Arabidopsis thaliana: one gene and its partner. The protein of the gene in region 1 binds, or shares a complex with, the protein of each later gene. Each region holds a gene or a part of one and is shown on either strand. Other genes may lie near its edges.

The links.
Region 2: LSM6B (region 1) and LSM1A share a complex: the UniProt entries of both Arabidopsis thaliana proteins name them as parts of the heptameric LSM1-LSM7 complex.

The regions. Positions count from the first base shown.
Region 1 is NC_003071.7:18,147,320-18,152,049, reverse strand, and holds LSM6B (Small nuclear ribonucleoprotein family protein), read right to left. Parts: upstream 2,854-4,730; 5' UTR 2,675-2,853; exon of another isoform or gene 2,476-2,674; intron 2,351-2,475; 5' UTR 2,326-2,350; coding exon 2,211-2,325; intron 1,427-2,210; coding exon 1,313-1,426; intron 1,218-1,312; coding exon 1,171-1,217; 3' UTR 755-1,170; downstream 1-754. Other genes in the region: AT2G43800 (Actin-binding FH2 (formin homology 2) family protein), read right to left, coding at 3,329-4,147, 4,229-4,482, 4,634-4,730. UniProt on the Arabidopsis thaliana protein: Component of LSM protein complexes, which are involved in RNA processing. Component of the cytoplasmic LSM1-LSM7 complex which is involved in mRNA degradation by promoting decapping and leading to accurate 5'-3' mRNA decay.
Region 2 is NC_003070.9:6,605,825-6,609,870, forward strand, and holds LSM1A (Small nuclear ribonucleoprotein family protein), read left to right. Parts: upstream 1-2,290; 5' UTR 2,291-2,463; coding exon 2,464-2,524; exon of another isoform or gene 2,525-2,672; coding exon 2,673-2,741; intron 2,742-2,828; coding exon 2,829-2,944; intron 2,945-3,047; coding exon 3,048-3,110; intron 3,111-3,260; coding exon 3,261-3,338; 3' UTR 3,339-3,545; downstream 3,546-4,046. Other genes in the region: AT1G19115 (uncharacterized protein), read left to right, coding at 527-532, 620-680, 788-1,089, 1,215-1,359, 1,642-1,661; AT1G19130 (RmlC-like jelly roll fold protein), read right to left, coding at 3,721-4,041. UniProt on the Arabidopsis thaliana protein: Component of the cytoplasmic LSM1-LSM7 complex which is involved in mRNA degradation by promoting decapping and leading to accurate 5'-3' mRNA decay.

The DNA of each region.
Region 1 (4,730 bases):
CAAGGAAAGAAAATGTGTTAATAAATACAAGTTGAACTTCTTCTTTGTATTAATTTTGGCTTCATTATTTTGTCTACCATGTGCTTTTCTGTTCTGTATACTTTTTTTAAAAACACAACCATGATATGTACTATTTTGAAATAAGTTGTTAAGTAAACATACAAACGATGAATATAAACGGATGGAGAAACCATGTCTGTGTTCAGCGTTGGTTTTTTTTTGTTTTTATTACATTTTTGGTAAAAAATTGATGAAAAGAATATCGATGTCAAGATGTAAATACAAACACACACAAAATCGAAGCTTTTATTGTTATTATTTGGAGAAGTAAAAGAGATGGAAAAAAAATAAGAGAGAGCCGAAATGGAGAATGTACTAATTACTAAAGACGTGAAAAGGTTCTGTACGGCTCTATAATAGTCGACAATAAGAAAAAGGACCTTGTCTATTTGATGTATTCTTCAAGTATATCTGACATTTCCTTATTTCCTATCTATGATGTATGATTATATATTGTAACTTTCACTAAATCCAGTTTCATATTTTCTTATCACACAATCTCAGATGTCAACAATAGTTGTAACATCTCTAGTGGATCAATATTGAACCAAAGCAACCTTTATAACGACAAGTGTCTAGCCTGGACATGTGCACTGGAATCGAGCAACATTAAAAACAAATGTTTACTACTATAAACAATCGGTTTCTTAAGTCAAACAAAAAAAAAACGAAAGAAGAATCAAATACGATAGAATAGAACAAAATAAGCTATATTATTGTTATTCGATCAAATCATAAATACATTAATGATTGAAATAAGGAGTTTTTAAACCTTTGCTGTCGAAGAATAATTAAGAATATTACGAGAAAAGAAAAAAAAAATACATTAATGATTGTTAAGATGACATCAGATTGTGACGCAGTGATTGCGTCATCAAAACACGATAATTAGGCTCCAAAGACCAACAGTGATTAAAAAAAATTTCATAACAAATAAAAATCTAGCTATATCTCAGAATTTTGGAGATGATTTAGACACAAACTGAGTTGCGGAAGAAAAAGACATGTCGAATTCATGCAGTGGTGATAAACTCTGGTTGCTACAAATCCTACATTTGTCATATGCCAGAGGTAGAGAAGAAGATGAACATTCATGGTGATGAAAGAGAGCTATGCTCCATCTGACAATGTCCCCTTTGTTGTGCTGATGTAAAGAACTGTGGCCAACATAGAGCATATTTTTCAGAATTGGATATAAAAAAACATACTAAACCGATTTAAAGAGTGATGATGAATGTGATTTGGTTTTTACCATTGTTGCCACGGACAAAAGCGTCGCCATATGTGTTCTTCAGCTGGCCATTTACATACTCTTCGGTTTGCTCCATTGCGATGTTCATATATCCATCAAGACAAGTAAGAATGCCTGCAAACAAGAAGAGAGACAAAGTGTCATATGTAGATTGATACAACATGATATGCCAAAGAAAGAATAAGTCTGACTTTTGTAGATAAACCAAAGAAAGATATTCAAGCTAGAAGTTCTCCTAGTCCTGTAAGTTATATTATAGAGTTCAAGAGACCAAGGTCTTAATTTCAGGTGATAAAGGCTCCATAGCAAGGTGAGAGTCCATATTCTATCAGAAGCAAGAGTAAATGCATCTCAAATTCAACCACATTTGGGTCTGTTATCTCATGAGAGAAGCTCTCTCAATTCACAAAGCTATCATCTGAATCTAATATTCCTCTCAAATTCCAAAAAGCATATGTTTCAAAGCCGTATGTTAATTTCCTGCTCATCTAGATTATATTTCTCAAAATCCAAAGCAAATATCTCAAGCCGAAATGTATTATTCCTTCTCAAACACAGAGACAAGATAGGGAAAAAACAAGCAAGCTCAACAAAAATGAATCTTCAGAGATGGGACTTTCAAATCAAATGAGAATCAAGCAAGCAGTTCTTAGACAAAGAAAAGAGTCATTCTGTAAACCAACATCCAAAGGTTCCAGTAACATGGCGAGAAAGAAAGGCATTGAGACATCTAAACCCAAAGTGATAAAGAAGTTTACATAGACTTCCGATAGCTTAATAACCACCGAAAATCAGAAGCAAACTATAAGATATCATCACACAAGGCAAAAAAAAAAAGAATTTGAACTGGATACATCTTAGAGGAGAACACAAAATGCAGAAAGAGAGAGAGACAGACCTCGATAATCAACACCAGAGTTGAGCTTGACAACAACTGGTTTACCACGGATAGATTTCAAGAAATCAGCAGGTGTCTTAGTTGTTCCAGAAGCTTTCTCTCCAACTCCACTCATCTTCTTTGCTAAGAAACCACAATATCTGCCCACCAAATTAGATCCAAATCAAACAAGACCCCTCAGAATATCCCACAAAGCCAACAACTTTAAGCAACAAATTCATGTCAGCAATTCGAGATCCATAAATCAATCAAATTACATAAAGACCTTGAGAAAAGGAATCATCTTGAATACCAAACTCGTAGCATCTCAACGATTACTCCCGAATCAAACAAAACTATGTGCCCTAAAACCCTAAACCTCAGACCAATTAGGAAATGCGCGAATGACTTGGATTAAGTAAAAAGAGAAACTTTGAAATGGATTGCAGAAACAGATGAGTCTGGGAAATCTAAGAACAACGAACCTCGAGTCCACGAACAAACGGTAATTGGCTAGAGACTTCCGCTCGATGAAGCAGCCGAACAGAGCGAAGAAGACATGTGACGCATTTACAAATAAGTAAAAATAAAATTACAATTAAAAAGGCCCAAGCCCAAATTCGAATCAGCCCACATGGAAAACAATCCGAAGTCCAAGTTTTTTTATTGTGGTTTAATTATGTGCGAGATTAAAACTTTTTAGTCAATTTTAAAATTTTAATCGTGAAAATGGTGAATTTTCAAAATTCGTTGGGAGAAGAACTTTGCAAAGATGTTTGACATCAGCAATTTGGAAATGCCTAATGTGAACCAAACAAAAGAATAATTTCAGTTTCTTTTTTTACATTTTGTAAATAGTATAGCTTGCAATAATTTAACTTTTCACAAGACTTTAGTTCTTCTATCGTTTTAGGTTTAGATCAATAAATACATCTACACGTGACATAAATAATTCAACAGAGGACTGGAACACGTACAGAGCCCGATGATAGCAACTTGCAACAATCTGCCAAAATCTATTTAAATTCGCCTATCAATAAAAATATAAATATGTATAACACATATATTACTTGAGTACGTAGCAAATGAAACCAAAACATTAGCATACACCGAACCAAACCCGAGCCAACAGTTTTCACTTAGAACGAGCCATCGTCGTCGTCTAGAGAACCCGATGGACTTAGCCGTGAGTTGTTATTGATAACCACCGGAAACAGAGGCGTGGCGGTCTGGTTCGATGGCGAATGTAGTGGCATGGATCCATACACCGTTCTCTCGTTTACGCGTCCAACTTCTTTACACACTTGATCAAGAATCGTCAGAAAGTCTCTGACCACAGCGAAAATGCGAAAAGGATGAGTTTCCGAGTTCCCGTGGAAATACTCTGTTACTTCTTTAACCATCTTCATGACATTGTCTCCATGAGATTGTAACTCTGTGATCTCTTTCTCACCTTTGTTCAAGAACGAGTTCATTGACTCCAAGAATCTCTCTACACCTGTTTCTTGCTTTAGCTCCGTGATTACTTCCTTGACTTTCGCTATTCCTCTGGCGATTTCCGCTGTTTCGTTGATGAGGGAATTTGAATCCATTGCCGCTGCTTTCTTGACGTTAATCAGCTGAGAGCTGAGACCTGAAACGACTTGCAACCCGAGTTTCTTGAGCTCTAGGTCATCTTGGAATGCGGATTGCTCGGCCATGTTATCGCCTATATGGCTTTGACTCGGAGTAAAAGGAACCCGAGCTCCTTCAAATTTTATGATCTCTTGAACCACAAAATGCAATAAGGTGGTTTTCCCATCCGCGCCTTTGATATCTACCAGTTTTAAGAGCGTGTCGAGCTTGAAAGCATGTGCGTCCCCTCTATTGGTTCCTATATTCATCCGGTTCCCAGTCTTGAGCACGGCTTCTAAAAGCTTCAAGAACATCCGCGTGTTCTTTAACTCACCAGTAGCAGCCTGAGAGTTTGATCAAATGCATATGAATGATCTGTTTGATCAGCAGACATACACTTATGAGGTGGACAAGTAGAGTTTTACCTCGAGAGTGTCGAAGGATCTGTTAAGGTACTCGATTTCTGATTCGAACTTGACAATGTAAAGCATTGCATCAATCCTCTTGAAGGCGAAAGGAATGTTCAACAATGCTTTGAGGAATTTCTCTGCAGGTCCTATCTTGGAAGGAGATCCATCATCATCATCTTTAAGCTCCTTAAGCTTGTCCTCTTCTTCTTTAGTAGGAGCCATCTTAAGCAAGCATTCGAGAAGCTCGGGTCCAAGCGTATCCGAGTTACCTGATTCATGAACAAGAAAGTGATTAGACATCAACTAAGTCAAACAAGTCAAGCTTCAATAATCACAGACCAATTTGAGGAATCATCAAACCAATGCAATGTTGCAGTAAGTGCGAGTAACCTAAGCAACAACAGATTGGAAATTACTCACCTTCTATAAGAGCTTCACATACTTCATCAGCAGTTACATTAAGAGCTCTCAACAAAATAGCAATGTTGTGTGACTTTCTTGGATCAAGAAACCGATT
Region 2 (4,046 bases), on another chromosome or scaffold:
CAAAGTAAGTTTGTACATTTTACATACACACTGCATGTAATTTCTGTACGGCCTGATCAAATATAAAAGCTGTGGGTTTTCTGTATAGTTGCTACAGGGAAGAGAGTGTAAAAGAAGGGACAAATCCATGTGTTTCCTTCACAATTTACTCGATTTCGATCTCTTAAAATGGTCCACATATTATAAGTATATAACGCAATTGTGGTGTACCAACAAAGTCCACAAAGATGGGATCAAGTGCTACAAAAATGGTGACTTGAAGTCGTAAGAAACTGATATCGAGGGTGTATAGAAACTTGAACCCAATTTTCTAATCGCTGGCTTTTTGCTGGCTTCTGGGACTTGTGTTTACTGTGTCTTTAAAAACATGGGACCACTTGATCATCTTTATCTCCTAAAGCTATTTCAAGAAGTAAAAGATCATTGACAGAAAAAGAAAATTTCTTGGAGAACATTGACAGAAAAAGAAAATTTCTTGGATAAACACACACATACATGTGCTTTTATATATGCATGTCTCTGAAATATGAAGGTTGGTTTTCATATATGTCTAAATCAAATTAATAGTGTTGATCTTTCTTTGATCGTGCAAAAATCTTGATCTTGTTGTTCTACACAGATTTTTAGTTGGGTTCAAAGAAAGCTTAGCGGAAAGAAGCGTGTGCCTACTTCAGATTCTTGTGAGTAAATATTCTTATTATTCATAGACTACATGAACAGTCTTCGCATAAATCATTTGAGCATATTTTCATATTTTTGTTTCATATGTTTGATGATGTATATATAGCTCAAGAACCATCAAGTCCTCCTTTGAGTAAAGAAGTCCAAGGTTTGCCTCAAGACGAAGAAACCTTCTTAGCCATCGGAACACTTGGAAACAATATCTTCCCCAAGCAAGAAGAAGAAGAAGAAGAAACAGATTCTAGCAAAGATATAACTCCGGTTAATACAGATGTTACTATCGGGAAGAAGAAATCGCTTTCTTTTCTTCTCAAGAAGATGTTTGTTTGCACAAGTGGCTTCAAAACTCCACCTCCTCTTCTTGATTTATCTAGAGGAGATTCATTGCACAACACACGAATGGAAAAGGTAAGCATATATGATCAAATTATTCAATCTTTAAACAAAATATTATTTTTATTATGAAAAGAAGTGAATTCAATAATAGTTATGTACACTAGAAACATTTTTTCCATATGTTATTTTGTGTGTAGATGCTAAGGACAATACTCAACAAGAAGATACATCCACAACGTTCAAATTCTATAGCAAAGAAGTACTTGGAAAGTAATCATAAGATTATGGATGAAGCTCGTTCAAGTGTTGACGCCAACAAATGGGTCAAGACTGATTCTGAATGTGAGATTTTCTAAAATTATATATATTTGGTTTTTCAGGTCGCAAAAAAAAAAAGTTTTATTTTAAACATACAGATGGTGTAATTAACCAAGTGAATATCATGACTGGCTTTATTGCAGTATTTAGTTAGGTCAAAAGCATATAATAAACATCATAAGGACTGAATTAAAATGCAGAAAGATGAAAAGTAAGAATTTAAAAATAGATAAATAAACAAATAGAAAAATGTAAACAAGAATAATGGATAGGGTAAATTAATTTAAATTTCTTTGATGGTTACAGATATTGTCTTGGAGATGTAGATATCAACCAATAAGCTAAATGGACCTGATTGATAGTCATGGTAATAATAGAATGTAAATAAAAACCAAAGTTTTTTCTTATTAAAAATTGATTTTCTATGTAAAATATAAAAAGTAGCAAACAAACATGATCACTGATTCAAGACAAATAATCAAAAATATGTTTTTCAGGTCTCAATTGAGTGATGGTGTAAGTTCAACTGTTCAAGATATGAAGAATAACATTGGAGAAGGGTCATAAAAATATCTCTGATAATCAGTGTTTACAGATGTATATTTACTTGTCAAACTCCATTTTTCATCATAGATTTGTTTTTATTTTTTCAGATTTTAATGTGGTGAAGAAAATCTGTTTGCTCATGTAAACTACAAAATATTCATCTTATCAAATAATTTTATTTGTATTTATGCAGTTTGAAATAAGTGATGAATAATGAAGAATGACTGAGATTTCTTGTTAAATAATAAAATGAAATGAAGGAAAACCCAAATGCAAAATAAAATGGGTTGATTATGCAATAGTTACGAAGTTTTGGGGTTTTAATGTATTTTTCCTAAAATTGAAAAAAAAACTCAGTCTGACCAAACTTTGACAGAACAGAATCGTGCGAGCCGTCAGACTTAACGAAAACGATCCATAGATCTCAAGTCTCTCTCTCTTAGTGAATAAATTAGGGTTCGTTGATTCTCTGTTCTTAAGCTCAGTAATCGAGGAGAAGAAGAAAAGGGAAGATCGGGAATTGGGAAACTGAGAAGTCAAAAAGGCAAATGCGAGTGGAGGAGATTGAGTTTTAGAATTCCAATGTCTTGGGCTGCTCCTGATGATATCTTCTTCTCCACTTCTCTTGCTGCTTACCTAGACAGTAATCTCTCTCACTCTCTTTCTCATTACTGATTCACCGGCGATGAATTCTGTAAAAAAATAAGATTTTGATCCCCAATGGTTGTTGAAGATGTTATCTTCTTCTACATGATTCAATAGTCTCTTAATGTTTTGATTTCTTGTTGCAGAGAAACTTCTTGTGTTGCTTCGTGATGGTAGGAAACTGATGGGTCTACTTCGGTCCTTTGATCAATTTGGTACTTGTCTTTCTCTTTTGCACCGAAAATCCAAAGTCTTTGAAATGGTTTTAAGAAATGTTTCGTTTGTTTTTGGTTTTCTTGAAGCTAATGCTGTTTTAGAAGAAGCTTATGAAAGAGTCATTGTGGGTGATCTCTACTGTGATATTCCCTTAGGTCTATACATTATCCGTGGAGAAAATGTTGTCTTGATTGGTGAATTGGTAAAGCTTTTACTAAACAAACCAATTCCTCTTGCATTTTGAAATGAAAGTTTCCACTTTTAAGAACGATTTCGGTGTTTGAATCGGGTTTCTGTGATCTTAGGACGTGGAAAAAGAAGAGCTTCCAGCTCATATGGTTCAGGTTCCAGAAGCAGAGATAAAAAGGGTTAGTGCAAATATCCTTCTCTCCCTTGTTGATTGCTTTAGCTCTGATTTGTGAGCTTCTTGCACAAATGTACTACAGCTGATTTGCTTTTATTTGGTTTAGTGTTTTGGATTCTACTGACTCCTCAATTACTCTCTTCCGTATACTCAGGCTCAGAAAGCAGAGAAGGAAGAAATGCTTTTAAAGGGCACAATGCGGAAAAGAATGGAGTTCCTTGATCTCGATTAGGGCATTTTCCTATGTGTTGCAGCATTGTAGAAACTAGAAGATCTCAAGATGGAGGATACAGAAGATCCTTAAACGTCATAATGTTAGTTGATGTGTGTATGTGTGGATGACATTGATGAATCCTCAGAACTTAGTCGTTGCAGATCCTCTGCTCTGTTTATGGAATGAAATTGTTGAGCCTGTTCTTTACTGGCCATTTATTTGATCAATCACAATTCAGTAAAAACAAAGATACAAAGATGAAAAGTGAACTCAAAGTACAGTTACAACCTTTGTATGATTCATATGAAAAGTTGAAGTAACAAAGCAAACATAGTATCCTTCTCTTAGTAGTTACCAAAAACCATTGAGCCAATAAGGCGTCTCCTCTAGGTAGGCCCTTTCACTCCGGGTAAGATAGCATTGTGATGAGTGACTCGTGTTGCGGAAACCTTGATAAGAGATCAGAGCGTTTCGCGAGCTCAAAGTCCTCGAACTGGAAAGCAGGAGCGCAGGTGCAGCCAACAAGAGAGAAATGGTTCTCAGAGTCTCTAGCCTCAGCTTTAAGCAGAGCCCCGTCTTGAGAAAAATGAACATCCTTTGTAGGAAACGAACCAAACCAGACGTTTGGAGGGACCGTGTACTGAGGCTTCTGATCACCTTCAAACAAGTCAGGACCAAGACATGTGAATTTCAACTTCCCATCATCGTAGAGTTCCACTACCTGAT